7 linked regions of the Zea mays genome follow. The protein of the gene in region 1 binds, or shares a complex with, the protein of each later gene. Links are inferred from orthologs where the notes say so. Each region holds a gene or a part of one and is shown on either strand. Other genes may lie near its edges. The genes, in order: 50S ribosomal protein L4-like; 50S ribosomal protein 6, chloroplastic-like; 50S ribosomal protein L27, chloroplastic; 50S ribosomal protein L5; 50S ribosomal protein L13, chloroplastic-like; 50S ribosomal protein L1, chloroplastic-like; 50S ribosomal protein L9.

Evidence for each region.
Region 2: 50S ribosomal protein L4-like (region 1) and 50S ribosomal protein 6, chloroplastic-like share a complex: the UniProt entries of both Arabidopsis thaliana proteins name them as parts of the 50S ribosomal subunit. The link is inferred for Zea mays from reciprocal best matches to the Arabidopsis thaliana genes RPL4 and PSRP6.
Region 3: 50S ribosomal protein L4-like (region 1) and 50S ribosomal protein L27, chloroplastic share a complex: the UniProt entries of both Arabidopsis thaliana proteins name them as parts of the 50S ribosomal subunit. The link is inferred for Zea mays from reciprocal best matches to the Arabidopsis thaliana genes RPL4 and RPL27.
Region 4: 50S ribosomal protein L4-like (region 1) and 50S ribosomal protein L5 share a complex: the UniProt entries of both Arabidopsis thaliana proteins name them as parts of the 50S ribosomal subunit. The link is inferred for Zea mays from reciprocal best matches to the Arabidopsis thaliana genes RPL4 and AT4G01310.
Region 5: 50S ribosomal protein L4-like (region 1) and 50S ribosomal protein L13, chloroplastic-like share a complex: the UniProt entries of both Arabidopsis thaliana proteins name them as parts of the 50S ribosomal subunit. The link is inferred for Zea mays from reciprocal best matches to the Arabidopsis thaliana genes RPL4 and emb1473.
Region 6: 50S ribosomal protein L4-like (region 1) and 50S ribosomal protein L1, chloroplastic-like share a complex: the UniProt entries of both Arabidopsis thaliana proteins name them as parts of the 50S ribosomal subunit. The link is inferred for Zea mays from reciprocal best matches to the Arabidopsis thaliana genes RPL4 and EMB3126.
Region 7: 50S ribosomal protein L4-like (region 1) and 50S ribosomal protein L9 share a complex: the UniProt entries of both Arabidopsis thaliana proteins name them as parts of the 50S ribosomal subunit. The link is inferred for Zea mays from reciprocal best matches to the Arabidopsis thaliana genes RPL4 and RPL9.

What each region holds. Positions count from the first base shown.
Region 1 is NC_050096.1:38,266,338-38,270,476, reverse strand, and holds the start of 50S ribosomal protein L4-like, read right to left. Parts: upstream 2,801-4,139; 5' UTR 2,775-2,800; coding exon 1,868-2,774; intron 1-1,867. Other genes in the region: Peroxisomal nicotinamide adenine dinucleotide carrier, read right to left, coding at 4,107-4,139. UniProt on the Arabidopsis thaliana protein: This protein binds directly and specifically to 23S rRNA. May play a role in plastid transcriptional regulation.
Region 2 is NC_050099.1:216,898,364-216,900,645, forward strand, and holds 50S ribosomal protein 6, chloroplastic-like, read right to left. Parts: upstream 1,073-2,282; 5' UTR 1,001-1,072; coding exon 635-1,000; 3' UTR 501-634; downstream 1-500.
Region 3 is NC_050103.1:167,360,501-167,364,209, forward strand, and holds 50S ribosomal protein L27, chloroplastic, read right to left. Parts: upstream 2,214-3,709; 5' UTR 2,152-2,213; coding exon 1,858-2,151; intron 1,017-1,857; coding exon 915-1,016; intron 806-914; coding exon 629-805; 3' UTR 501-628; downstream 1-500.
Region 4 is NC_050096.1:5,387,174-5,390,548, forward strand, and holds 50S ribosomal protein L5, read right to left. Parts: upstream 2,028-3,375; 5' UTR 1,925-2,027; coding exon 1,619-1,924; intron 1,489-1,618; coding exon 1,288-1,488; intron 1,132-1,287; coding exon 787-1,131; 3' UTR 501-786; downstream 1-500. Other genes in the region: glycoside hydrolase, family 28 precursor, read left to right, coding at 1-429. UniProt on the Arabidopsis thaliana protein: Binds 5S rRNA, forms part of the central protuberance of the 50S subunit.
Region 5 is NC_050098.1:202,897,711-202,901,728, reverse strand, and holds the start of 50S ribosomal protein L13, chloroplastic-like, read right to left. Parts: upstream 2,801-4,018; 5' UTR 2,695-2,800; coding exon 2,470-2,694; intron 1,987-2,469; coding exon 1,801-1,986; intron 1,235-1,800; coding exon 1,064-1,234; intron 281-1,063; coding exon 164-280; 3' UTR 1-163. Other genes in the region: uncharacterized protein LOC100285659, read right to left, coding at 3,500-3,756, 3,863-4,018.
Region 6 is NC_050101.1:154,265,258-154,269,266, reverse strand, and holds the start of 50S ribosomal protein L1, chloroplastic-like, read right to left. Parts: upstream 2,801-4,009; 5' UTR 2,746-2,800; coding exon 2,419-2,745; intron 2,319-2,418; coding exon 2,139-2,318; intron 2,052-2,138; coding exon 1,997-2,051; intron 1,438-1,996; coding exon 1,310-1,437; intron 964-1,309; coding exon 880-963; intron 1-879. UniProt on the Arabidopsis thaliana protein: This protein binds directly to 23S ribosomal RNA.
Region 7 is NC_050100.1:222,785,531-222,789,755, forward strand, and holds 50S ribosomal protein L9, read right to left. Parts: upstream 2,801-4,225; 5' UTR 2,729-2,800; coding exon 2,585-2,728; intron 2,059-2,584; coding exon 1,931-2,058; intron 1,618-1,930; coding exon 1,572-1,617; intron 1,326-1,571; coding exon 1,228-1,325; intron 1,048-1,227; coding exon 1,000-1,047; intron 907-999; coding exon 786-906; 3' UTR 729-785; intron 643-728; 3' UTR 418-642; downstream 1-417. Other genes in the region: methyltransferase WBSCR22, read left to right, coding at 1-26; Chaperone protein dnaJ A7A, chloroplastic, read right to left, coding at 3,451-3,496. UniProt on the Arabidopsis thaliana protein: Binds to the 23S rRNA.

The sequences.
Region 1 (4,139 bases):
TGCAACGACGTCGATAGCCCTCCACACTATTCTGCCTGAGCCGCGACCACTCCTTGACGATCTTCTCGCCAACATCGATGTCTTCGCCATGCCTTCTGGATTGCCACCAACTCGTGCATGTGACCATTGCATTCACTTGCAGCCAGACACGACAACAGTCGCTGTCCGACCCTACCGCTACTCGTAGGTCCATAAGGACGAATTGGAGTGCAAAGTCGTCGACATGCTGGTCTAGGGCGTTATTTAGCCTAGCACGTCGACCTTCTCCACATCGATGCTCCTCGTCAAGAAGCATGACTCCTTGCTCTTCTACATCGACTCCTTGCGCTTCCTCAACGACTACACGGTGAAGGACAAGTTCCCAATCCTCGTCGTCCCCGTCGTTGATGAGCTCCTTGACGAGCTCCATGGCGCCCATTTCTTCATAAAACTGGACCTACGCTCCGGGTACCACCAGATCCGCATGCACACAGGCGACATCGAGAAGACCGTGTTTCACACCCACCATGGCCACTTTGAGTTTCTGTTGGTGCCAGTTGGGTTGGCAAACACGCAGGCAACATTCTAGAGCCTCATGAATGAAGTCACGCAGCCCTTACTCCGTTGGTTTGTCCTTGTTTTCTTTGATGTATTCTCATCTACAACGACTCGTGGTCAACTCATCTGCAACACGCCTTTTTCGACGCCTCCATGCACACTCCCTCTTTGGCAAGCTCTCCTTTGGCATGACGTCCGTCGCATACCTAGGGCACGTCATCTCCGTAGATGGCGTAGCCATGGATGGAGACAAGGTGGAGGCCGTCACGTCTTGGCTGCACCTTCCTGGGCCTTATGGGGTACTACAGGAAGTTCATATAGGAATTCGACCTCATCGTGGCGCCACTCACCAGCTTGCTAGGGAAGGACACCTTCCACTTGTCACCGAAGGCTGAGACGACCTTCACCGCACTCAAGCGCGCACACTCCACTGTGTCGGTCCTCCATCTGCCAGTCTTCGATACCTTGTTCGTCGTGGAGTGTGACGCGACGAGCATAGGGTTCGGCGCTATCCTTCAGTAGGGCGCAGGACCACTGGCCTACTTCAGCTGACCATTCGTGCCATGACACCAGAAGATCGCCGCCTACGAACGAGAGCTCATCGACTTGGTGCAAGTCGTGCGTCATTGGCGCCCATATCTCTGGGGGCGCCGGTTACTCATCTGCACCAACCACTTTAGCGTGAAGTTCCTGCCTGATCAACGCCTCTCAACGATCCTGCGGCACCAGTGGGTGAGCAAGTTGTTCGGCTTCAACTTCACGGTGTAATACTGCCCCAGTTGTCTCCATACGGTCGACCACGCCCTCTCCCGCCGTGACACCGACATCATTGGCCGCCACAACAATTGTGTCTTGTTTTTGTTTCTTTGCAGGTTGGCTCTCTCATGAAATTTGTGGTTGTCCTATTTTATGTTGAGGCGTGTCTGCCATTCAGACAAAACCATCTTATTTCCCTTCAATGCAAGGCAGAGCTCCTGCCACTCTCTTTTAGAAAAATGAGAAATATGGTAAGAGGTGCATTTTTATTCAGCAAAACATAGTCCTGTACAAAACCGATATTCAAACCCCATGTCTTGGTCCTTGAGTAGTGTGGTTTTATGCCATTCAAATTTACATTGTAGATAAAATGTTCCCCAAAATAATGGTGATGCAATTCAATCCAATCGGCATTACTGCTTCGTAGCACTACCATTTGCTATTCTCCTTCAACCTGTTGAGACATGTACTAACTGAAGGATAGCAGTTACTAGCAGAGAGCCCATATATGGCCAGTACAGGAATAATCAAGCAGCGCACTGCAACCAGCAAAGCATACTCTGTAGCTATGTACCTGGAGCAGCATCTGCTGTGGTGCCTTCTTCTGCTTCTTGCTCGACCAGTTCCTCCTCGCCATCATCCTCGTCATCAGTATAGTAGTCATCGGAAACACTGGCTCCGTACCTGGAGTTGAGGTAGTCTACAGCAGCAGGAGTAAAGAAGAGCTTGCGTGCGTCGAGTATGTCGTACAGGTTCAGCGTCCTGGGTGTGAGCATTTTGAGGGAACCAATGTTCCTGCCGCTGAGCCGCACATTGTCGTCGAAGTCCGTGGCAAAGAACATGGCTTTCTGCTTCGGGTCAAGCCCCCACCGCTGCAAAGCGGCCACGAAATCCCTGGTCTTGGGCCCCGACGCGAAGGCCTCCTCGAACTCCTCGACAACGAAGGCGTCCTTGGCGGCGCTCACGATGGCAGTGGAGATGGCAAGGCGCTTCTCCTTGCGGTTGATCTTGATGGACCAGTCGCGGGGCTTGGGGCCGAACACGACGCCACCGCCGGGACGAAGCGGGGTACGCTGCGACCCCCGCCGCGCCTTCCCCGTCTTCTTCTGCTGATAGGGCTTCCTCCCTCCGCCTCTGACCTCGCCGCGGGTGAGCGTGGAGGCCGTGCCTCGGCGCGCGTTCTGGCGGTCGGTGATGATAGCGCGGTGCACGACAGCGCGCGCGGTGGAGGGTGGCGCGGATTTGAGGTCGAGGGTTACCTCCCCGACCTTCTCTCCGGTGAATGAGAGCACGGGGAGGGTGGCCGCCTCGGCGCGCAGCGCGCGGAGGACGGAGACAGCCGCCCTCGTCCTGACGGCGGCGTGTGGAGTGACGGCAGCGGAGGAGGGTGGGAAAAAGGAGGTGGATGAGGAAGAGAGGAAGGGGGAGGAGGACGAGGAGAGCGAGAGGAGGAGAGGGGAGACTACGGCGGCGGCTGGCATTGTGCCGGCTTCGCTGCGCTAGGTACGGGACTACGGGGTGAGGCGAGGACGATGGCTCTGACGCTCTGCCTCTGCAGCTGCCGCTTCTCTATCCCTTTGTTATCCACCCGTTCGGTTCGGCCACTCCTCCCCAGACAGACTCGTAGTCCCTACTTGCCAACGCCACAAGAAGGCACACTGTCAACTGTCTCAGGAGTCACCGAGTCAGGTCTCATGCCGAGTCGGCTAGTCGCAGTCGCACTTCACAAGTTTGAGTAATTTTTCCTTAAAAATCCATTAATATTACAAGTAATGAAAGGGCATTTGCCGTGTTAAGTGAATTTATTTGCTTGCAGTTTGCTAAAACTGGTTGACACGGGACGGGAGGAGACGAAACCGTGCCTGTGCACTTAAGTCAGCTGCACCTGCAGACTCAACTGCAAGTGCCCAATGCTTTCAGCACAGCTGGGATAGATAAAGGGTGAAAACGAATCTTCAGAAATTCTAGGTAAAAAGGATTAGGCTATCCGCAACCGTTACCCCTAAATTTTTCCCCCTATATCACTTTTCCCCCCTATTTTTCTCCCTATTTTTTCATCTCCCGCAGCGGTTCCCCCTAAATACTCCCCTATACCCCACTACAACTATAAAATATCATTTTCTATATCAACTATTAATTTTTTATCTACTAACAATTACTCGTGGACCCACAGCACAGTGTTTAGGGTGATGAACAGTGACACGCTAGATCTGGGGGGAGATAGAAGGGTGCCGACGCGTAGGGGGCGCTGTAGGGGGCACCGCTGCGGCCGTAGGGTGCCCCCTACAGACGGCATGCAAGGGGAGGGGGAGTGCTAGCGGTGACCGCTGCGCACAGCCTTAATCAGAAGTTCTACGTTCCCTTGGCTTCCTGATGATAACCAACTTGCACGCGTCTCCTTACCGACAAGGTAACAAGCAAAGTCATGCAGGTCAAGAAACCTGAATAGATGACTGCGGATTGCATTCTCATGATAGTTTTTTTTTCCAGATATTCTGCCACCCTTGCACAAACCATAAGGTAAAAGCAAGTCAGGAAATCAGAAGTTTAGAGCAGATGGCCGAAGTTCAAATTATCATACTTATTTATTTTCTTCTGTTTCGATCTTCCACGATACATTCTACATGAATGATACAAATATCTATCCAACATAGTCTTTGGTCCCTACGTGAATCATACTGGCTATTGTGTAACCTACAGTTGACATATCCAAAGCAGAGGCGAGCTCTATAGCTTGTCGACCTTGTTTACGGTTTATGCGGATAATAAATGGCTTTTTAGGATGATATACTAACGCTTGCGATGCCCGTAGTTCATCTTGATGACTTTGATGGTAGTTTCTTAAC
Region 2 (2,282 bases), on another chromosome or scaffold:
ACCATACTCATATCCAATGGATAATTATCCGCGGTTATTTACCCATACCCGTATCCATTGCCATCCCTAGGTAGGCAGGTAGCATATGGAATTCGCACAATCATGCTCCAACAAAAGCAACATTACAAACAACTAGGTTACTTCTAAAATTTCCTATCATTTGCAGTGTTCAATGGCTGTTCCTGCCATCTAAGCTGAGTTTACTGTTTACCGAACCTTCCCCAATATCAGGCAATTGTCCAAATCAAACAGAGCCAGCTCCTAAAGTCAAACAAGAGGCAGATGTCTTCGTTGGGCTGCTTGTTTTCCCCCCCTTTTGAAGACTATATTTGCGTAATCCATATCCCATCATAACTTAACTGGCAAACTATGGAGATGGAGTAGCTAATCACTCTGCAGTCTGCACTGCCACTGACGGCATGGAATAAGCGTTGCACACAGCATGCAACCAAGAAATCATCTAGCAACGCACTAAATTGGACGCGGTGACAGCCACAATCTGGACAGCAATGAAAGATTCTTAATTTATAATCACAAAATCTGGGCAGCCATTGTTATTATATAATAAATCTCAAAGAAAAACAGCTTATGCGGAGGTTCAAGGGAACAACTTTGGCGACACGCCGCGGCGGCCTCAGTCGGTGGCCGCGGCCACGTCGAGGACGAGAGTCGCGGCGGGTGCCGGGGCCTCCGCCTCCTCCACGTCCACCGTGGCGCCGGAGGCGACGAGCGTCCAGTCCGGCGGGAGCGGCGGCAGCGGCGGGTACTGCGTGGGGCGGCGCTTGATGTCCCACGGCTGCGTCTTCTTGGGCCGCGTCTTCATGTGGTGCTTGGTCCCCTTCTTCTGCGGCCGCGACGAGCACTCCACCGCCAGCGCCGCGCGCCCGCCGCCGTGGAGCGGGGAGAAGCCGACGGAGTAATGGCGGGCGTGCCTCGCTGGCGACGGGGCCGAGGCCGGCGGCACCACCGTGCCCGCCAGGAGTGCGGTGACAGGCGACATGCTCGCTGGTGCTGCGCTTTCGAGAGAGGCGGACGGGTAGGGTAGTAGTGTGGGTTGTGTTTGGGATAAGATGGGAGGAGGACTGTTTCGGATTGGGTTTTGTGATTGCGGGATTTGCTACGCTGAGCGAAATCTGGCCCACACTATGTGCGATCATCTGACCGCTCACTCATCGAGTGTTTTTCCTTTTTTATATCTCCACTTCTTTTAAAAAAAACTTGTAATTGTTTAGTCCCCTGCCCTCTTCTTATCATAAAATGCCATGTCACCTTTTTATATTATAAAATTCCGTGGTCTAAGATGTGCCGTTGATGAAGCTTCAACAAAACAAAATGAGGCTCACGGGTACATAATATATTTCTTTTGGTACAACGATCAGTTGTCTCCCGAATTTTGTTGAAAAATGTTTCGGCACAACTAGCTTGTACTTCTAAAGCTATCTCTAACTCATCTAGAGATGTTAATGGAGAATTCTCCATCGGGTTATAGCATCCCAAACTCATTCCTATCATATTTAGTCCATCCTCATACCCATTATGGGTGCAAAATTCATCTCATACTCATCCTCATTCGGGTTTTGGGTCCCCAATGGGTCCCCATCTCCAATTAACGCATGTTCAGGCACACCAATCCAGAAGGCGATTGGAGGGTATTAAATCCCCTCCTAGTCAATGGGAACCTCAAATCCCCATTGGGATTGGAGGGGATTGAGGTAGAAATAAACTAATTTTCTCTTCAATCCCCTTCAATCTTGAAGGGATTTGAGTTTCCAAACTAACCCTTAGTGCTACTTTGGGAACCTCAAATCCCCTTCAGGGTTGGAGGGGATTGGGGTGGAAATGAACTAATTTCCTCTCCAATCCCCTTCAATCCCGAAGAGGATGTGAGTTTCCAAACTAGCCAATAAGGGCTGATTTGGTGACCAGAGATTACGGCGGGATTTGAGAGAATTGAGGGGGAAATTAGTTCATTTCCCCTTCAATCCCCTCCAATCCTCCCGTGATCACCTTGTCACCAAATCAACCGAGTTGATTTGGTGACAAGGTGATCACGGGAGGATTGGAGGGGATTGAGGGGGAAATAAACTAATTTTCCCCTCAATCCCCTTCAATCCTCCCGGGATCCCGGGTCACCAAATCAGCCCTAAGAGGGGATTTAAACCCCTCCAATCCCCTTCTGGATTCGTGTAACCGAACAAGCCCTTAAGGGATAACTAGGTACTAACATGTAACACAAACTATCTAGATTTCAGACATCACCACATCGGCAAGTACTCATTAAT
Region 3 (3,709 bases), on another chromosome or scaffold:
TATGACATTGCATAACTTCATTAGAGACAGTGCTCTACACGATAGAGACTTTGATGAACTAGGACCTAATAGCCTTGGTCATGATGTATCTGTAGGTGAGAGTAGTAGTATCACATCTGATGAGTTAGACATGAGTGCATTTCGAGATGCAATTGCTAATGCATTAGTGCCGTAGTTAAATATGTAAATGTAACAGTAGTTATGTTGTAATGAACTCCACTAATTATATGTAATGACCTTTTGTTGGTTCGGTGTTAATGTGTATAGTTTCTTCAAACAGAATCTGCAATCTGAGAATCTGTGTATCCAAACACCTAGATTCTAACGAACAGCTTTTCCGCACAGCTGGCGAACCAAACACCTAAATTCTAACCACCAGCTTTTCAGAAAAGCTATTCAGAAAAAAGCCGAACCAAACACGCCCTACGTGGAGTGGTCTAGGAAGTTGGAATAGACCCCCACTGTGACTCTAAAGCACAACTACCCCACAAAAAGTACAAGTAGAACATATCCATTTATCTAAACAACACATGTAAATATGACCTTTATAGATCATGTGGTCTTACAATTAAGGAAGAAAAAGTGTAACAAGGGCTGTGAAAAAGAGAAACACCACACAGGAAACTTATCAGCAGTCCGCGCTGACCTCAGAGTTTTCATCAACAGCAGCTAGTACCAACTGAGGCTCAGCGGCGCCCTCCGCTCTCGCCTTCTTCCGTTCACGCCGCATGCGGAAGTACTCTCTCTTCCTTGCTCTGTAACTGTTTGGGTTTTCAGGCTCCTTCTCATATGGGTAAACACTAACCTATGAAAGGAGAGGTAGTGAGATGAGCATATATCTGGTGTGCAACCAGATCTCAGTCAGATGCAAGTAAAAGCAGATTTCAGTATGTAGTAACTAAGATACAGCTAACCTTTTTCTTGTCCGGCCCATACTTCTCAAACTTGACGAGTCCATCTATCAAAGAAAAGAGTGTGTGATCCTTGCCCATTCCAACGTTATTTCCAGGATAGACCTGAAATGTCCAAAAGATTTTATTTTAAGAAAAAACTTAAAAACGGCAAGGAACAGACAGACCACAAAACGGGGACCAAAACGAACTCTATACAAGGGACACGATGGTATAAACCATGTAGTATCCATAATATATAAACATCTTAAATATTTGAAGCGCGCTGGTAAGTAGGACGGACCAACCAAATCGTAAGACATGTAAGTTCATGAAATATCTTTTACAAGGATTGACCGACCATCTTACAGTATGCCTAATATTGAACAGCTATGTCTGACCATGTGTGCAGAGTAAGGTGGGTGTTTAGTTCAAAATTTGTTGGATTATATAACCTGGGCAGATTATAATCCCAAACAAACACCCCCCTAAGTCACCACCAGTTGGCTCCATAGGGCATTGAGGTTAGTACGTTACATTCCCCAGCGAGGTTTGTGTGTGCACTTTCCCCTCCCGTTATCTGATGTATGCAAGAAACTGCAATCTTTTCTTTCCTGCTTTTGCAGAGTGGTAAACTATGGAAAATGCAGATATGCACAATGGCAGCATACATTCCAACGTAACATGTGCAATGGCAAGCATTCTAGGTACATCGTAAGATTCTAGCATTCGCAGTCCGTAATCCGTATGAAGGTACTGGTCGGTGGTTAATATGCTTAACCTGCATCAGCAGCAGCAGCAGCAGGTGAGCAGCAAGCAAACGCTAGGCAGAGAGAGCTATGTCGCCCAGCAGAGCCAGTCAACGAGGTACCATAATCCACGCAAGCAAGAGCCTAGGCTGTCTTACTAACCCAAAGCAAACCAGTAACAGGTAAGGGAAGCGAAGGGAGCAAGAGGGGGGCAGGACCCTGGTGCCGCGCTGGCGGATGATGATGGCCCCGGGCTTGGCGAGCTGGTCGCCGTATATCTTGACCCCGAGGCGCTGGCCCTTGGAGTCGCGGCCGTTCTTGGTGCTCCCGGCCCCCTTCTTGTGCGCCATCTGGATGGTGAGCCGCCGCGCCGGCACCGGCACCGGCACGCCCGCTGCGCCGCCGACGGAGAGCGAGGCGCGGTCGCAGCGCGGGAAGGAGGAGGTGGTGGTGGTGGGCGCCAGGGAGAGGCCCTTGAAGGCCCCCGCCAGGGCGAACGCCATGGAGGCCATGGGCCGCTGGAGCGGAGGGAGGCAACGTGGCAGCTTGGGAAGAAGACGGGGGAAGAGAGCAGATGAGGCGGTGAGGTACAGAGGTGTGGGCGCTGGTGATAACGGAGTGGAGAAGGGATGCAGTCGGGAGACGTGGGCTCGTTCGTGGTTGGCCCAGTGTTTTGGGTCCTGGAGTTTTTGGGCCTTACTTGCAGATGGGCCTCGTGGTGCTTGCAGAGTGTCTGGCCGAATTGGAAGGGAGGGAAATGGTGTTATGCTCCTGGCCGGTTTTGGTCCTTGTAGTTTTAGGCAAGGCAACACAGGATTCACGAAGGAATCATTCAGGGGGAAAACAAAATGATCAGTGTGGTGGTGTTTGGTTCATGATATGTAACGTAAGTGGTAACGATAATGATTCACATTCAAGTACCAACGATAATAAGTCTGAATAGGCTCAGTTAGAGTTAAACAAACATGATATGTGAACCAAAAGGGCATCATCTTGTTCCTCCCTCCGGAGCTGCACAGAGAGACGCTGAATGGCCACAGCTAGCTAGCGTCGGCACGTGGGGAGATAGCCGGGGAAGCTAGCTAGAGTGACAGGCAGGCTTGTTGTGGAGCAAGAGCAAGAGCAAGAGAAGCAGTAGGCATGATGATGGGCTTGACCGGCGGCAACGGCAAAGCTGGAGCCGGAAGAAGAGGAGACGACCGACACATGGCATGATTAGGATCCTTGACGAAAGCGCGGGAGATGCAGAGCGTTTGGGGGTCCAAGTTAATCATGGCCCAGACCAGACCACACAAGCAAACAGGGCCCTACCACCACCACCACCACCCACTAATAATCTCGTGTTCTCCAGAGTCCAGACGCTCCATCCGCTCACTCGCTGCAGTTTGCACTGTTTACTCCTCCGTCTCCGTGTGCGTTAGATTTCCGGCGGCACTAGGGATGCCAGAAATTTCAAAGAGGCAGCAGCGCACGGCGCTCACAGGCTGCTGCTACTACTTGTACTAGCAGCAGTCACCGCACCGCACGCACCGTCAGCAGGGGGACGGAGAGATGACATTGACCGCCGGCGATCATTGCCTCGTCTGACGATTCGCCGGCGACACCCACACCCGCACCCCACCCCGGCCGGACCCGACCGACACAACGCATTTCCTCTATCTTTTTCCCACTCTTGTTTATTTGTGACAAATTATAGCGTGCTTGCGGTTGTAAAATGTTAGTCCATATCGATCTTTGCCACTGCACGGTGAATAGTTTGGAACTGAAAAGGACACGAAAAGGCCAAGCAAGCAGGCAGGCTGGGTCTAAACGAGAATGATGGGGAGGGTTAGATAAAACCCAAGATCATATCAGCCGTGACTGTAAAAAAAGAGAAGGATTGAGAGAGAGAGAGAGAGACGCCGCGACCGACCGGCCATGATGGTGATTGGTGAATGTGAATGTGAATGTGATCCCTTCCCCATGAGTGACAGGTTTTGGTACCTTTTTTTCTTCTGGAACTGCCGTTGCTCCAGCCTCCTCCGGGTTTGGTGTGTGTGTCGGCAACGGTGCGTCAGTCACTCAGTCTCA
Region 4 (3,375 bases), about 33 Mb from region 1:
TCCGGCGCCGGGAGGGGCGGCTTCGTCAGGGACATCTTCGTGCGCGGCCTCAGCCTCCACACCATGAAGTGGGTGTTCTGGATGACCGGCAACTACGGGCAGCACCCCGACAACACGTCCGACCCCAACGCCATGCCCGAGGTCACCGGCATCAACTACAGCGACGTGTTCGCCGAGAACGTGACCATGGCCGGCAGGATGGAGGGCATCCCTAAGGACCCCTACACCGGGATCTGCATATCCAACGTGACCGCCCGCCTCGCGCCGGACGCCAAGGAGCTGCAGTGGAACTGCACCAACGTCAAGGGGGTCACCTCCCACGTCTCGCCCAAGCCGTGCCCGGAGCTCGCCGCGGAGGGCAAGCCGTGCGCCTTCCCGGAGGAAGAGCTCGTCATCGGCCCACCCGAGCTGCCGAAGTGTAGCTATTGAGGCCGATTGCCAAAAGAGATCATTGATCATATAGGCTCTTCGGTGATAGTCTAGACAAGCAGTATGAGAAATGCAGCTGAAATACGTTTGCATTACAGTGTCCGTCTCACATTACTGCTTCCTCCGATTACAATGTCTGGCAGTGGTATAACTTGTGACTACAAATTATGCATCAAGAAGAAATCAGCAAAACGGACATGATCATTGCAAACCTTTTTCATAGGTGCACAAGTTACATAATTGACAGACAACAACAGCATCGAATTTGTAAGCCAAATTCTGCAAAAAGATCGGAATTAAAACAAGCTGAACAGAGCGTGTGCAACCATGGGCTGGCTGGCTGGCTGGTTCCTCTCCTCACCGTCGTCCTCCCTTCCCCTTGCCCTTGCTCAGGAAGTGGTGGCGCTTCAACCTCTTCTTCCGGATCACCACGTCGGTCTTGATGTTCTCCGAGAATGGCATGCCGAGGAGGACCAGCAGCCTGAACGCCTCGTTGTCCGTCTTGGCGCTGGTGACGATGGACACGTCCATGCCGTTCTTCTTCCCGCCCACCTCGTACGGGATCTCCGGGAACACGCCCTGGTCACGGAGGCCAAGGCTGTAGTTGCCGTGCCCGTCGAAGCTGTTGGGGTTGACACCCAGGAAGTCCATGGTCCTAGGGAGCCCAAGGTTGATGAGCCTATCCAGGAAGTTGTACATTATCTACAGCCAAGGACAAAAAAAAGAAAAAGAAATGAGCCCTGTACCAGTGAAACGAGCTCACAATTTCCACTTGTATTGCAGATTATACTAAGCTGCCATATTCCAAACTGCCACGAAATACACTCCGAGGCCAAATGAGCAATGGATGAGGCTCACCCTGCCGCGGAGGGTGACTGCGATACCGATGGTGTTTCCCTCACGGATCTTGAAGCTGGCCACGGACTTCCTGGCCTTGGTCTTGACGGGCCACTGCCCGGTGATCATGGCCAGGTCCTTCATGGCGGCATCCAGCCCCTTCGAGTTCCCTGCCTCCGCGCCCAGACCGCAGTTCACCACAATCTTCTCGAGCTTGGGAACCTAGCCGTTCGAACCAACCGCACGACTCATCAAAAGTCAAAATCCTACCACGCCAGCAAATTAGCCTAGCTACAAGGAGGAACGGCGGGCCTTTCCGCGGCGAGGAGGAGCAGGGTCGACGGTCGAGCACCTGGTGGACATTGGTGTAGCCGAACTCCTCGGTGATGAGCGGGACGACCTTCTGGTCGTAGACGGCCTTGAGCCGGTGCACCTTCTGGGCTTCGGATGGGTCGACGAGCACGATGCCGGAGGGCGATGTCGGCGGCTGCGTGGGCTTGGGCGGCGCCTCGGTAGCGGCGGAGGCCACGACGCGGAGAGCTCGGCGGGGAGCCGCGGAGGGCAGGAGCAGGCAGCGGCGGGCGGATGAGGAAGAGGCGGTTGTGGCGACGGCGAAGGGCGTGCCCGAGGAGGGCAGGGTCACAGCCGCGGCTGCCATCGGAGCGGGGCGTGCGGAGGCGGGCGCGGCTTATGCCATGGATGAGGAAGACGGTTGCTGGATAAGGCGTCGGCTGTGCCGCTGGCAGTGGCCAATCCAGTGGTTCTGGGCTAGGCCTTCGTGTGCTCTGGACTTGGACCCATTGAGGATACAGAGATGGCTAAAGCCCATCAAGCCCAAGCCAAGATTGTTTAGTGGATCAATAAGATTAACATCATAATACAGCCTTGTTTTGCTAACAACGAACCTAATATCGTGAATACGTGATTAACAACAGTCATTGAGCTGGTCATGCGTGTAAAAAACAACTTAAAAAACAAGTGTGATCAGTTTAATATTTGATATGTGGGACATGTGCCCATGATGACGTTACATATATATTTTTTAGTGAGAGGTAACCATATATTAAACTGATTACACATGTTCAAGCTAAAGTGCATGACAAAAATAGTTCAATTAGAATCCATAATGGTAGCTTGCTATCAAGATTGTCATGCACTATTGCTTGGTCATGACACACCACATATAAATCAAATAAAATATTGAAAGATTGATATACAAATCAAAATAAAATGTTGAAAACTGAATATTCAAGCTTGAATATAGTAGATTTGTCGTATGTGGTTCGTCGTCTACGTCTCGCTTGGTTGGGCTAGGTCGCTTGACGCTTGGGCCTCGTTGGGCCGCAGGGCAGCTGTGCAGCTCGTTTGGCTCGTTAAGAACCAAACTAAAATGTTGGCTGAGCTCGTGACTCATTTCAAACGAGCCAAGATGTATCAAGCCACTAATGAGAGCGAGTTATGGATCCACAAGTTTCTCGTCCAGACCTAGTGGCAAAGTCTGTGCAATATGATTAGTAGGGTGTAGAGTGGTTTCTAGACTTGCGGGTATCGTACTTTAGACTTTAATAGGACCTCACTCGTGAAGTAGACTAGTTTGTGTACTTTGTATACATGGCCTTACTCTTCTCTTTCAACCATGATTGATGTCTTTAGTGTGTTGGTTGTGTTGGCCCAAAAATGAGATGCAATATTCCAAACTATCGTGACAGGGGTTGTGGACACCCTATGCTCCATGTGACAACACAATTGGATGCCATGGAGCCTAAGGCTGTTGTGTGGGGGATAGATATCCCCCGGGTCCACTAAAGGAGTAAAAGACCTCACGAAAGGCCCAAGGGCCCAATAAATCGTAAGGTCATTCTTTTGTGGGCCTGGGGAGAAACAACCAACAAAGCAGAGCGACGTGATACCGGATTGGTGCAAACCCGAATGGCCCACAACGTCGAGCGAGTAAATCGCAACAGAGACCCGACTTTCCCGCGCTGAAGCCCCCATGCAGCGGAGCCATGCGAAGATAAGTCGGCGAGGGTTACGTAGGGATAAACTCAAGAGGTTCACTACCTTTTAGCTACTTGTTGTTATCATATCCACGTGTACTGCCCCACGGTC
Region 5 (4,018 bases), on another chromosome or scaffold:
TGAATTTCATGCATTGGTAAACATCAAAATTACAAAGAGGATTTATACTCCCCCCCCCCCCCTCCCCGATCAGAGGCATGGTTATGAGGATAGCATTCCAAACAAAGGGCAAAACCTTCTGGGGAGGAATTCGCCACTGCATCCTTTTCAGTCGATGAATTCTCTATCCAGTTTTTTGTATTCTTTTATCCCTGATCGGGAGTGGGACAGGTTTTTGAGCCTCGTGCGGATGTTCTGTCCCTTTGTATACCTTGAGGTGGGTAAATAATCTTCTTCCCAGCTGCAAATTGGCAAAAAAGGTGAGCATATAAATGTAAATATAACAAGTATATAGCACATAACAAAACTAAGTTAAATCAAATTTGCCATCAACAAGAAAAATGGAATGGTTAGGGGGGATGCTTCAGATAACAAGATATTTGCCTGCCATAATGTGAGTTTCAGTAAACGCATCCATACTACCAAACAATTGAACTAAGAAGCAATTTGCAAGAAAAAGGTTAATAGGCAATTTTTATGGAGTTCATGCAACACACCTTTGCGAACTTAGAAAAAAAAAGATCGGCAAGATAATTAACTAATTCAATCTGGACTTGTTAATTTTGTTCAATAACAACATTCCCTTGAATTTAGTACTGTGATTTATTCTGAATGTCACGCTTTCACTGGGAGGTACATGCTGATGCATGAGCAATGTTCTGACTGCAATACACTTCAGGGCTTGTTCGTTTCGCCGTTAATCCATGTGGATTGAGTGGTATTGAGTCGGTTTAAATCCATAGCAAGTCAAAATCCATCCCAATCCATCCCAACACACCAATCCACATGGAATTGAAATAACCGAACAAGGCCTCACCATTAACTATAGTAGTTCTCAATCTCAAAAGAAAAAATTCACATCTGCTAACTAATACCAAATTGTAATTTTTGGGACCTTAAAATAAAGGTCACCAGGAAATTTGGTTGTCATTTTCATATTTGGCATACATTATAACATGCGCACTAAAACGAGAAAGAGAACATGTAGACCTGAGGCAATCAGCTAGTAGATGTTTTTTCTTACCCTTCCCTTGGGGAGCATGCCACGAACCGCATGTTCAATGATTCTCTCTGGAATTCTTTTCTGAAGTTGGTCAAAAGTTTCTTCTTTCATCCCTCCAGGCCTTCCGGAGTGCCTCCTATAAAGCTTTTGTGACCGCTTTTTACCAGAAACAGCAACCTTATCTGCATTGACCTATGTGAATAGAAAAGGTTGTTAATGACTCTCAGCATTGTAGTGTAACACAATAATGCATATCATCTACTCCATCTGTTCCAAATTATAAGATGTTTTGGTAATTCTAGATACATAGTTGTTACTAAATATCTGGACATGAATTATGTCTAAGTGCGTAGCAAAAGTAATGGATCCAAAAAAAATCCAAAAAGTCTTATAACTTGGAACTGAGGGAATACGTGGTAATGAGCCTTTAGAGATGCACCAGTCACAAAAGGACTATGCTAACATAAACATTAAACACAACTACAGTTGAAGATTATTTGAGGAAGGTTACTCACCTCAGTACCAAATAATCTGAGGGAAGTAAAGCATGTATACTAAGGCCCTGTTTGGAACCTCTACAGCTAATAGTTAGCTGCTAAAATTAGCTATACAGGTTCCAAACACCCACAACTAATTGTTAGCTAACTCACAGTTAACAATTAGTTCATTAGCTGGCTCAACCCAGCTAACAATTTGTTAGCTGGCTACCTGTTAACTGTAGGGATTCCAAACACTATAGGTATTGAGAGAACGCTTACCACAATAACAAAAGCTCCCATGTCTACACTAGGAGTGTAAGTGGGTTCATTCTTTCCCCTGATATGTACTGCAATGGTGGATGCTAGCCTGCCTAGGATCTTGTCTGTTGCATCAACAACATACCATGTCTTCTCGGTAGTTACATGATCTGCAGCCTTAGGATACCAGGTTGTATTCCATATGTCCTGCAAATTAAATCACTGAATCAGATTTCAGTAGACACAATTACTTGTGGAGTAATTCATTAGAAGAAAGAACAAGGCATAGTACAAACAAACCATTCACTTTGTACCCATAGTATTAGTAACTGATCCTAAACAAGTCACAATTATGAACAGGCTGGTTGGCAACCATCAGTTCACTTTGACTTGCATGTCCAATTAAGCTCATTTTTAATGAATTCTCTCTCACCACAAACAGCCCATGGGTAATTTTGGATATGATGGCACATGGCAGATAACATATATAATGTACGCAGTTCTATTGTAACTTGATTGCCCTTCATCATGCACATAAAAGGATAGTCGAAGCCTCTGAGGTGGATTAAGATGGCCACGGTGAAACATGAACAAAATAGGATGGACACTGTCAGTCCAGGGTTACAATCCTGCAAAACGAGCTGTGAAAATGTGCACATTGTTTCAAGAGAGGAAGAGAGAGCGTCGTACGGGGCCGCAGAGCTCGTCTCCCTCGAACATGAAGCGCTGCTCGCGGGGCACGAGCGCGGCGAGCGGCTGCCTCTTCTGCTTGTCGCTCTTCTCGCACCGCACGGCCAGTCCCACCGGGGCGGCCCGGCGCGGCCCCACGGACGCGGTCCGGGTCAGGCGGCGGTGGTAGTGGCGCGGGGCGAAGGCGGAGGAGAGCAACGTATGGGAGGCGACGGCCGTAGCCATTGCGGCACGGCGAGCGAGCGGCAACAGGAGGAGGATGTGCAGACGGTTGGTTCAGTGGGACGCGGCCATTTTTAGGCGCAGTGGGGAGCGTCAAGCGGATAAGGGGATAGGAGACAAAGAACAGGGAAAGGTTAACAAGAACATATGGGCTTCATGGGCTCAGAACGAAATGCAGATTTGGCCCATTACGACACCTTATCAGCTCATCTGAGATTTAAACGCTTCCTTTGAAACTCTTCCCAAACTCAGAATAATGGCGGTTCCATAATTCCATCTAAAAAAAAGAAATTCAATGTATTACTATTGGGCAAAGGGAGCTGCATTAACAAAATATAGCTTCAGACAGGACCATATTTTTTTCAAACGATTCCGCTGTTCAAGTACCAATTAGAAACATCGGTAATCAGAGAAATTCTCGAGTCCAAATAAAATGACGGGAACAGAACTTCCATTGCTGCTAGTTTCCGCGACAACCATCAGCAGCAGAAGCCGAATTAATTGATAACGGACACCATTTTCACATGTTCCATCAGGAAACGGAAAGGAGGCAGAAAAGTGTTCATTCTCTTCTAACCAAAGAAAGCATATCTTTTACATATATAGTGGCAACATCGTGTGATTGCGTTGCAGTGAAGCAACAGCTTAACGTGTTTCTGGTTCAGATCCAGGATTCCCTCGCAGGAAGAACGCAAAGATGATAATATACAACAACAAAATTGTGAACCAGAGATGTCGAGTATCGACGATTAGAACCATATGTAAATCAATGGTTAGTTGGCTACCAGCAAATGAACTGGGAGGAAGGTTACGAAGTAGTAGAAGACCCTGAATTTGTCTGTGTAAGAGGTTTTACTTTCCTTGTGTGACCCAAACTATTCACAAGATCCCTGCGAGTGCATACAGGAAACATGCTCAATCCATGCATGTTTAGCCGCCACAAAACGTATGGAAAACTGAGCTGATCACGAGATGTGAAGCGAACCACTTCATTAAACCAAGCACACATGAAATGGTTCGTTGCAGGGGTGAGTTCCCTCACAATAACAGAGGCTTCGGCTAGAGCTGAAAAATCAAACGGGTAAATTCATTATAACAGTTCGGAAAACATATACAGAGATATTCCACAGGAGCAAAAGAACAATTGTTTGAGAAAGATTAACAGACTGACCTTTCAGTCCGTGCAATCTTTTTGTGTCCGGCATTCCATCTTGACGATACCGAGTCAATTGTACCTCTACCTCTTCAGGGGTAGCCTTGTGCTTTTGAACAATAGCTTTCCCCTCATCATATATGTTACTCCGTGCTCCATGTTCAGAGATAGCAA
Region 6 (4,009 bases), on another chromosome or scaffold:
CCCTAACCTACCGCACGATTCTCATTTAGATCCCCAAACTATGAAATTGCATATCTAGGTCCCTAAACTATTTAAGTATCCCATCCCGGTGCAAAACAGTCACATCACAGTTCATTAGCTAACATTGCACTCTAGCGTGGAACCGACATGCATGTCCATAACTCATAATTACAAGGATGATACCTAAACTATCATTGGATTCTTACAAAAGTCTCAAACTATAAAATTTGGATTAGGATTGTAGTACTTTAATAGGTTAGGGACCTAGATGAGTAGTTTTATAGTTTGGGACCTAGCTGAGAATCCTATGATAGTTTAGACAGCCCTTGTAACTATGAACTATGGACCCATATGTCAGCTTCACGCTGGAGTGCCACGTCAGTTGATGGACTGTGATGTGGTTATTTTGGATCAAGATATGATACTTATATAGTTTAGGGACCTAGATATGCAATTTCATAGCTTGGGACCCAAATGAGAATTACATAATAGTTTAGGGACCGCCAGTGTAGTTTACTCATATTATTACCACTGATAACGCTTCATATCTTCCAACATGTGTCTCATCTAGTTTCCTCGGCGATCAGTAAAACCAACTATTTCAACTTCCTGAACTCTTGCTATGCACAATTAAATTACAAACATGTGTTCAATAAAAACACCATGCCTGAACCTTGAATTATCGGAGTACAGGAAAGTAAATGCAACTGATAAAGGTAGGAAGTTACTTGTACATGAATCCTAGAAGTCAGTAAATACTACAAGGGCATGAAGTTTTAAATCTTGTCACAGTGCCCAGACTAAGCAATGAAGACAAACGATTTAGAATATCGATAAAAAAACTGAGGCAAACAAAATCTGTATTGACTTCCTCAATACCTGAGTAATATTTGAAGAAACAGTGCCAGCTTTGGGGTTAGGCATCAGTCCTCTTGGTCCTAGAATCTTACCTAAGCCCGCAACCTGAAAAGTAAACAGAAATAACTCAGGCTGATAATCATTTAAAGGGGAGCCCACATTGAAAGTTTCTACGAACATGTCAAATAATGCAACAAATATATACAGAACTTTGGACATTTAGTTTAGCATTAGTTATCAAAGAATGAAACATCTCACACATGTATTCTTGTATTCCGAAATTAGATTGGCATAGCCAATCTATTTTATCTATAGAAAACAAAAAAATTAACAGTTTACATGGTAAGACACTTAGGACCTATAGTAAGCACAACTAAATATTTCATTTCAAATTTTGTGGTAGTATCCAACAGTAAATTGAAATGAAGGCAGAACTGTTAATAGCTCATACCTTAGGCATCATATCAGGTGATGCAATCAATTTGTCAAACTCCATAAATCCTCCTTTTATTTGTTCAATCAAATCTTCTCCACCTACGATATCAGCTCCGGCAGCTCTAGCTTCATCTATCTTCTCACCTGTGAGGTCAGAAAATAACTATTAATGCATATAATGACCATGATTATTTCAACTACTGGTGCTACCATCTTTATGATAATGACAAGAAAAACATGACTATCTTTCACAAAGGATATGAAAGAGAAGTTTCAGTCATTCAACAAGGGTTTGCTAAGTGGACAGCACAAAAATAGCACCATCCCAACTCCCAAGTGACTTCTTGTAAAAAACAAAGAAGTAGAAACATCATGAACATAATAAACTGATTGTTAAATTCTTCTACCAAGATGCCAAAGATGAATTAACTTTGTCCAATCCAATATGTTGCATTTGAACTCTGAAAGAAGCCATGGTACTTTAAGAAGAAAAAAAATACAAAATTAACCAATCGGGTCATCAGCACACAATGTTTGCATAAAAATAAAGACAAGCGTGTTTCAGATTAAACCCATAGTCACACATGAGGCAAGGCAATAGTGTCAAACAGAACAATCACACATATGACCCACTAGCACAGTGAATTCAGTTTGTACTAACTATCGCTCAACAGGATTTCGTTGTGTTTCAATCACCGCCCACCTTGTGTGAGAACCGCAATCTTCACCGACTGGCCTGTTCCCTTGGGCAAATTCACCTGTGGTCACCACGACCAGCACAAATTAACGAACGCAACAGGGCACAAGCAACCAAAAAGAGAAGGCCAGAAAAGAAGAAACAATACCGTGGCCCGGAGCTGCTGGTCATTGTACTTGGGGTCGAGATTCATGCGGAAGTGCGCCTCCGCTGACTCAACAAACTTGGCACTGGACATCTGCTTCATCAACGAGATGGCGGTGGGCACGTCGTAGTCCTTCTTGCTCTCCCTCAGCTTCTGTATCTCGAGGAACCTCTTCGACCTCGTCTGCGCACCATCAAAACTAGCACAGCATCACCGGCCGTACACAAGCAAGCAAGCCACAGGAACCATATACGGAGGGTGGGGTATTCGGCGATATGCGTACGCGGTCGCGCTTAAGCAGTAGCGCGGCCTTGCCGGTGCGCGGGCGCGTGGGGGCCGTGAACGCGGGGCCGCGCCCGCCCTCATACCCGTCGTCGTCGTCGTACTGGCCCTGCTGGTCGACCTCCGCCTCCTCTTCGAGCACGGCCCCCTGCGGGTCGGCGATGGCGGCCGCGGCGGGGCGGCGGAACGCGAGGAGGAGCCGCGGGTACGCACGCAGCGACGGCACGGAGGAGGGGAACAGCAGCGCGTTTGACGAGGCCGGCGCCGTGCTGCTGGCCGCCGGCGCGAGGAGGGAGGAGGAGGCGGTGGCCGCGGCGGCTGTGGCCATGGTGGAGGCCGGGGAGGATGGCGCAGCAGATAAGAGGGAGTGGAGGGATAGAAAGAGAAGCCGAAGTGGCAGCGCGGGTTGGTTATAGCCGAAAGATCTCGGCCTGGGTGTTCATCGGATAGGGCTGGTCGTGGGCGGGCTCGCGGTCGCAGCCTCGCAGGGGCAGGGATGACGGGCGCCGCGCCTGGAAAACTCCTCCCCCCTGATTCCAGTGATTTTGGCTCAACCGAGACGCCCGGTCACCTGCCTGATCTTGGTTGGGAGTTGGGACGAGCGGGTGTACGAGTGTGCGATCGTGTCGTGTCCGCGCGGGCGACGGGTAAGGAGAAACACGGCGAGTTGGCTGGGCCGAGACGCGCGCAGGTGTTCGGAGCTCCTGATTTGGCTCAGCCCCGAGGACCGAGAGCCATGCGGATGCGCGCGAGGCAGCCGGACAGGTGTGTGGTCGCGGTTCGCGTGTGGGTTCGAGCGGCAGCGACGAGGGACGCATGTGTGGCTGTGGCTGCCAGCCTGCGACTGCGAACTGTTTGTGTGTGGCCCTTGACTCTACTCTATATCTATACTACTATATTATTTAGATTATCCACCAAACAAATTCAGATAGCTGGATAACTCTATCACCCTTACTCAAATTCAATGATGAACAATATTATCTAGATCATCTATCATTTGTCATGTCACCCTTCCCTTTCCCACAATCTGTCGCCTCCAACCTCTCCCTCCCTCGCGTCCCCGTCGCCCTCTCCCCTTCACTCGTGCCTCCACCGTCAATTCCTCCTATAGTTCTGAGGCCTATGTTGTAATACATTGGTAGTGTGACCATAACATGTGGTTTTCTCACTTTGTAATCAGACTTTAGGTTGTTTCAATGGCACACCACTCCACATACATACAATGAACTTTAGAAAGTGCAGGAGCTCCAACTTTTTCCCCTGCTGCCACCATGTAGAGGGAGAGAGAGAAAATTATCTCATATATCACTACACTTTTAATATAGAATTTTCTTTGTGCGTCGCCATGTGTCTCTCACGCGTGAGTAGGGGTGGTAATGGGCTATAAACTTTATACTGCAAATTTTAAGGATCGAATCGGATTAGGGTCGGGCTCTATTCTTATTCATTTTTGAACTAATATTATTTAAGGGCCTTAACTTTTGTGAAGAGGCATTTGGATCGTGATCCATTACCACCTCTACGCGTGAGCGCCCGTGTCCGTCCAACGCGGCAGGGCTCCTACCACTATGGCACACATCCATTTGTGGTAC
Region 7 (4,225 bases), on another chromosome or scaffold:
GGCGTAAGCGGAAAGGCTATTTCTAGCTCTGTGCAATGCCCCCTTGCCTGCAATGCTGGCTGTTCAGTTATGATGCTAGTTCATTTAGCAGAAGCAGAAGGATTTTTGTAAAGGGTGAAGCGAGGAGTTGTACTGGTATTCGGGAGTCATTGCATTTTTAGACAACGATGTGAAACTGTCATTTTTGTAGAACGTGGATGTTGAGATGAATACAGTTGGTTTGCGTGAATCTGTATCAGATCGCTGGTGACGCCCAGACTTTGGCTAAAAGAAACGCAGTTCATGTGTCAAGTACGTTGGTGTTCCAATCTGAATAACGCTCTATGGAGCCCCATACTTAGCAAATTTCTTGCCTTTTTTTTGTAGTGGATGCAGACGTAGAGGTGGGGAAGGTTAGAGGACAAGAAAGAAGGGTCGTTTTTGGCGAAGTAGTGCTCTACAGTTCAAACAAATTGTTCTTTACAACAATTTATATTTTCCGCCTCAAAATCAACAGATATAATTGTTGAAAACTTGACTTCACACGGTAGGGAATAGGATGCGCAGTGAGCCAGTGAATTGTGTATCAAAACCAGGCAAGTCACGGCCAGACCAGGCCTCATGTCTACCGCAGCACCTGGCACTTGCAGCAAAATCTCTGCACTAAACAAAAGCAACTGTGTAAGAGCAAGACCAGCGGAATTCTAAGAGCCAAATCTCAAGGAAAGAACAACGGCAAATGAGCTCGCCTGGCAAACATCAGGCTTCTCCAAAGTCCATTACTCGAGGTTCTGTAACTGCTGAGCTCATTTCGCATAGACATTCAGCCTTACTCGCGCTGTCACGTCTGGGTGAAGCTTGATCTCTGCAACATACTCTCCGATTTCACGGATTTCTGGAACCGTCACCAGCTTCTTGTCGACATCCCTACAAGACACAGCGTGCCAGCAGTAAGAGAAGCAATATAATGATGAGAAACGCTATTAAGATTGCCTAGGAGTTAGGAGCATATGCACTTGCCTATTAAGTTGTGACTTTATTATGTCAACAACATCCTGTGCCGTGACACTGTACAATAAAAGATATCGTCAGAAAAGTGAAAGTAAGACTATACCCAGCAGATAGTGACACTATAGATTGCAGTGTGTACAAAGTAGAGTTTGAAATGAGAGATGGAGATGGGTAAGCTGTAAGAGATAGCCTGAGACAAGAGAGAATAAATAATGGATTGTCCAACTTAGAACTTGCCTCCCAAAGATCTGTTTTCCTTTTCCACCTTTGCGAGGGAGTTTGAAAGCGCCAATGGTTTCAAAAACTCGAGCAAGTTGTTGCGCGTCTTCTTTTACCTATGTAAATAGAGGACTTCTTAAGGCCATAATTATAAACAAAAACTGATAAAAATGCATTGATAGAATTTCATGAACATATCATGCTTAGGACTTAAATTACGGAGGACATAAAGGCACTATATTTTCTTTTCATAAGGAAAGTAAGGATAAACTGCAATTGAAGTTTACTCTCCAGACAAAGAAAAAGGTCGCTGAGGTTAAATTGCAACTACATTTATTACTGAGTAAAATATTTTTTCCTACCCGCTTCTTCTCAGCTTCTATTCTCTCCTGCTCCAGCTGCATTTCCCTGCGAAGAGAAGTAGAGGCAATAAATTCATTCGCAATCTTACTTACCCATCGAATCAAACAGTATGTGTGTCGACCATTGCAATTCTATTAGAAAGGTGCATGGATTGGATTCATATCTCAATCTAGTTTTGCTAGGTGCCTAGGTCCCAAACCTCAGAGTCAAACTAAGCATACCACAGAGAAGGTCATACGGTTGCCAGCAGCCACTGAATCATTTGACAGAGTGTGGACTTTGCAATTACTTGAGGATTAAATGACATAACTAACAAAGCAAAGCAAGTGAGGGATAACCGAGAGCTGGTAGCAATTACTTGAGGACTTCTGGGGTCAGAAGTGTAGCCTTGCCCTTGGGAAGGAGGAAGTTGCGGTAGAATCCAGCTCGCACCTTCAGTGTATCCCCTTTCTTCCCCACCTCTTCTATGTCGTCTGTCAATATGACCTATGGGAAAGAATTGTTTTTTTTATGGAGAAAGGTAAAATCACATGTAATGCTAAGGGTGGCGGTAATAGCTACACAAGATAAGCACCACATTGTCAATTTAACTGGATGCACCGTTGTTGCATTCTTGTACAATCAGGCAAACACAGCAAAAGGAACGACTTATGAACTGAACTCCAACTAGTGAGGCAAGGCTCCCATCAAAGGTATTTCATCCCTAGTATCTAAATCCCCTGCCTAAAAGCCTGGTTAGTAGTAGTAGTAGTACAACTCTTGGAGCATCTAAATTGTGCGAGCCACTATATCTTACCTGTTGCCAGTGAGACAGCTAAGCTAGCTAACTTCATTTGTATCTATTGATCACAATATACAAACGTACCGACGGCGGTGCATCAATTTTTTTAGAGAAGAAAACTAAAACGCGGCAGGTTATGATGCCCTCAGCAACCCGCGTGCATTAACTGATTGCTAAGATGAAATCAGCACAGAACTCGAACATAAGAACACGCGGAAAGCCCGGGCCGACCTGGCGGTACTTCTTGACCTTCCCCTGGGCGACGATGACCAGCGACGGAGCCCGGCGAGAGGCCGTGAGGCAGCGCCCCGCCGAGGGCCGCGGGTAGGAGGCGGGGGTCCAGGGCAGCGTGGAGGCGCACGACAGCGACGCCATTGCTCTCGCGCTTCGCTACTCAAGCAAGTGGCGCTTCGGTCGCCTCCTCCGCTCGCACCGCTTTCCTTTCTTATCCATCCACTGACTTCGCGAGAGGCCTAAATAATGGTTTGGGCCCGGAAATGAGAAAGCGGCGGCGGCGGCCCAATCGATCTGGAATGGATAATGTCACGGCTCCGTAGAGCCCGTTTCACAGCTTCTCTCGCCTGTCGCGCTGCGTCCATGGCGGGAGCCTGCGCGGTCGCCGTGCCCGGATCCAGCCGCGTGAACTGCCGGCGTGATAGCCCTTTCTCGAAACTGAGAATTCGATATCACCGAAACGTATTTCTAATAAATAGTTCCATCGCATCTTGTAAGTTGGATAAGTTTGCAATTCGATATCGGTGAATTTGATTAATCCAAAACCTCAAGTACAGTGTTTGTCTAGTCCCGGGGTTTGGGATCAGCATCCCACAGCTTCAGACTTCTACGCCGCTTGCCAGACTGAAAAGGACTCCAACTACATAAAAATAATTGCTTGGCAAGAATGACAAGGGACCAACGCCGCGACGATATTAGTTGACAACTTTCACTCCCTCGGTTGCCACTCAGCCTGAAAATCTTGCAGCTCTCCAATAAAACGAATATACGAGCTCGTGGGGACCCCCAATGAATCTAAGAACTTTGATTGGACTACAGCACCATGTAAGACAATCTTCTATCCTGCAGTAAATATTTACAGCCTACAGGTTGTCGTTCAGCCACTTCGCAGCGCCATTAACAATGGACCTGAAAGAATTCAACATCTAGGTCAGAATACAAGAGATAACCCAATCACAAAAATGTCTGATGAACTAAATCAATCAACATTTTTTCCTCTCGAACTCAGCCAACCTTTTATTTTTCTCGAACACAACTAACACAGTTAGGATGGCTCAAATTTCAACAGAGGTTATGCATCTGCATTCAAATCTCCCATTACTACAGTGTAATTTCCCCTTTTAAAGAATACTCGGAAATGTAATGCAGTGACCAAAAATATAGTTCATTACTACAAGATTAAGTTGGGTTGGTTCAGATTTCAATAAAAGAGGCATCTGCATTCAACTTCCCATTACTATTTACTACACTAGACCGGACGGGGCGCTCCGCTGCGCCAGTTTCGAAGTGCGTGAAAGAACAGGTAAAGTGATAAGTCGTTCAACAGCGATCGGTGAACAGTAATATTCAGAGATACATCAGCCAACACGCGTGAAGCCACGGCCGCAGGCTGGATAATTTAAAATGCAGGCGTGAAGAGAAAGGCGTTCAGATTTTAAGAAACTTAATTTGTAATTTTCCCTTTTAATAAAGGAGTACGTGAAAATGTAACGGCTGCCATAAACAACTAGGTAGTTTATACTTTATACCACCAGAAGTCCAGAACAGGGAAGTATAGTACAAAACCTATATGCTCAATGTAATGATTTTTTTTTCAGCGCGGTGTTACCTCATTACCCTTTAGTTAAGAAAAAGAGA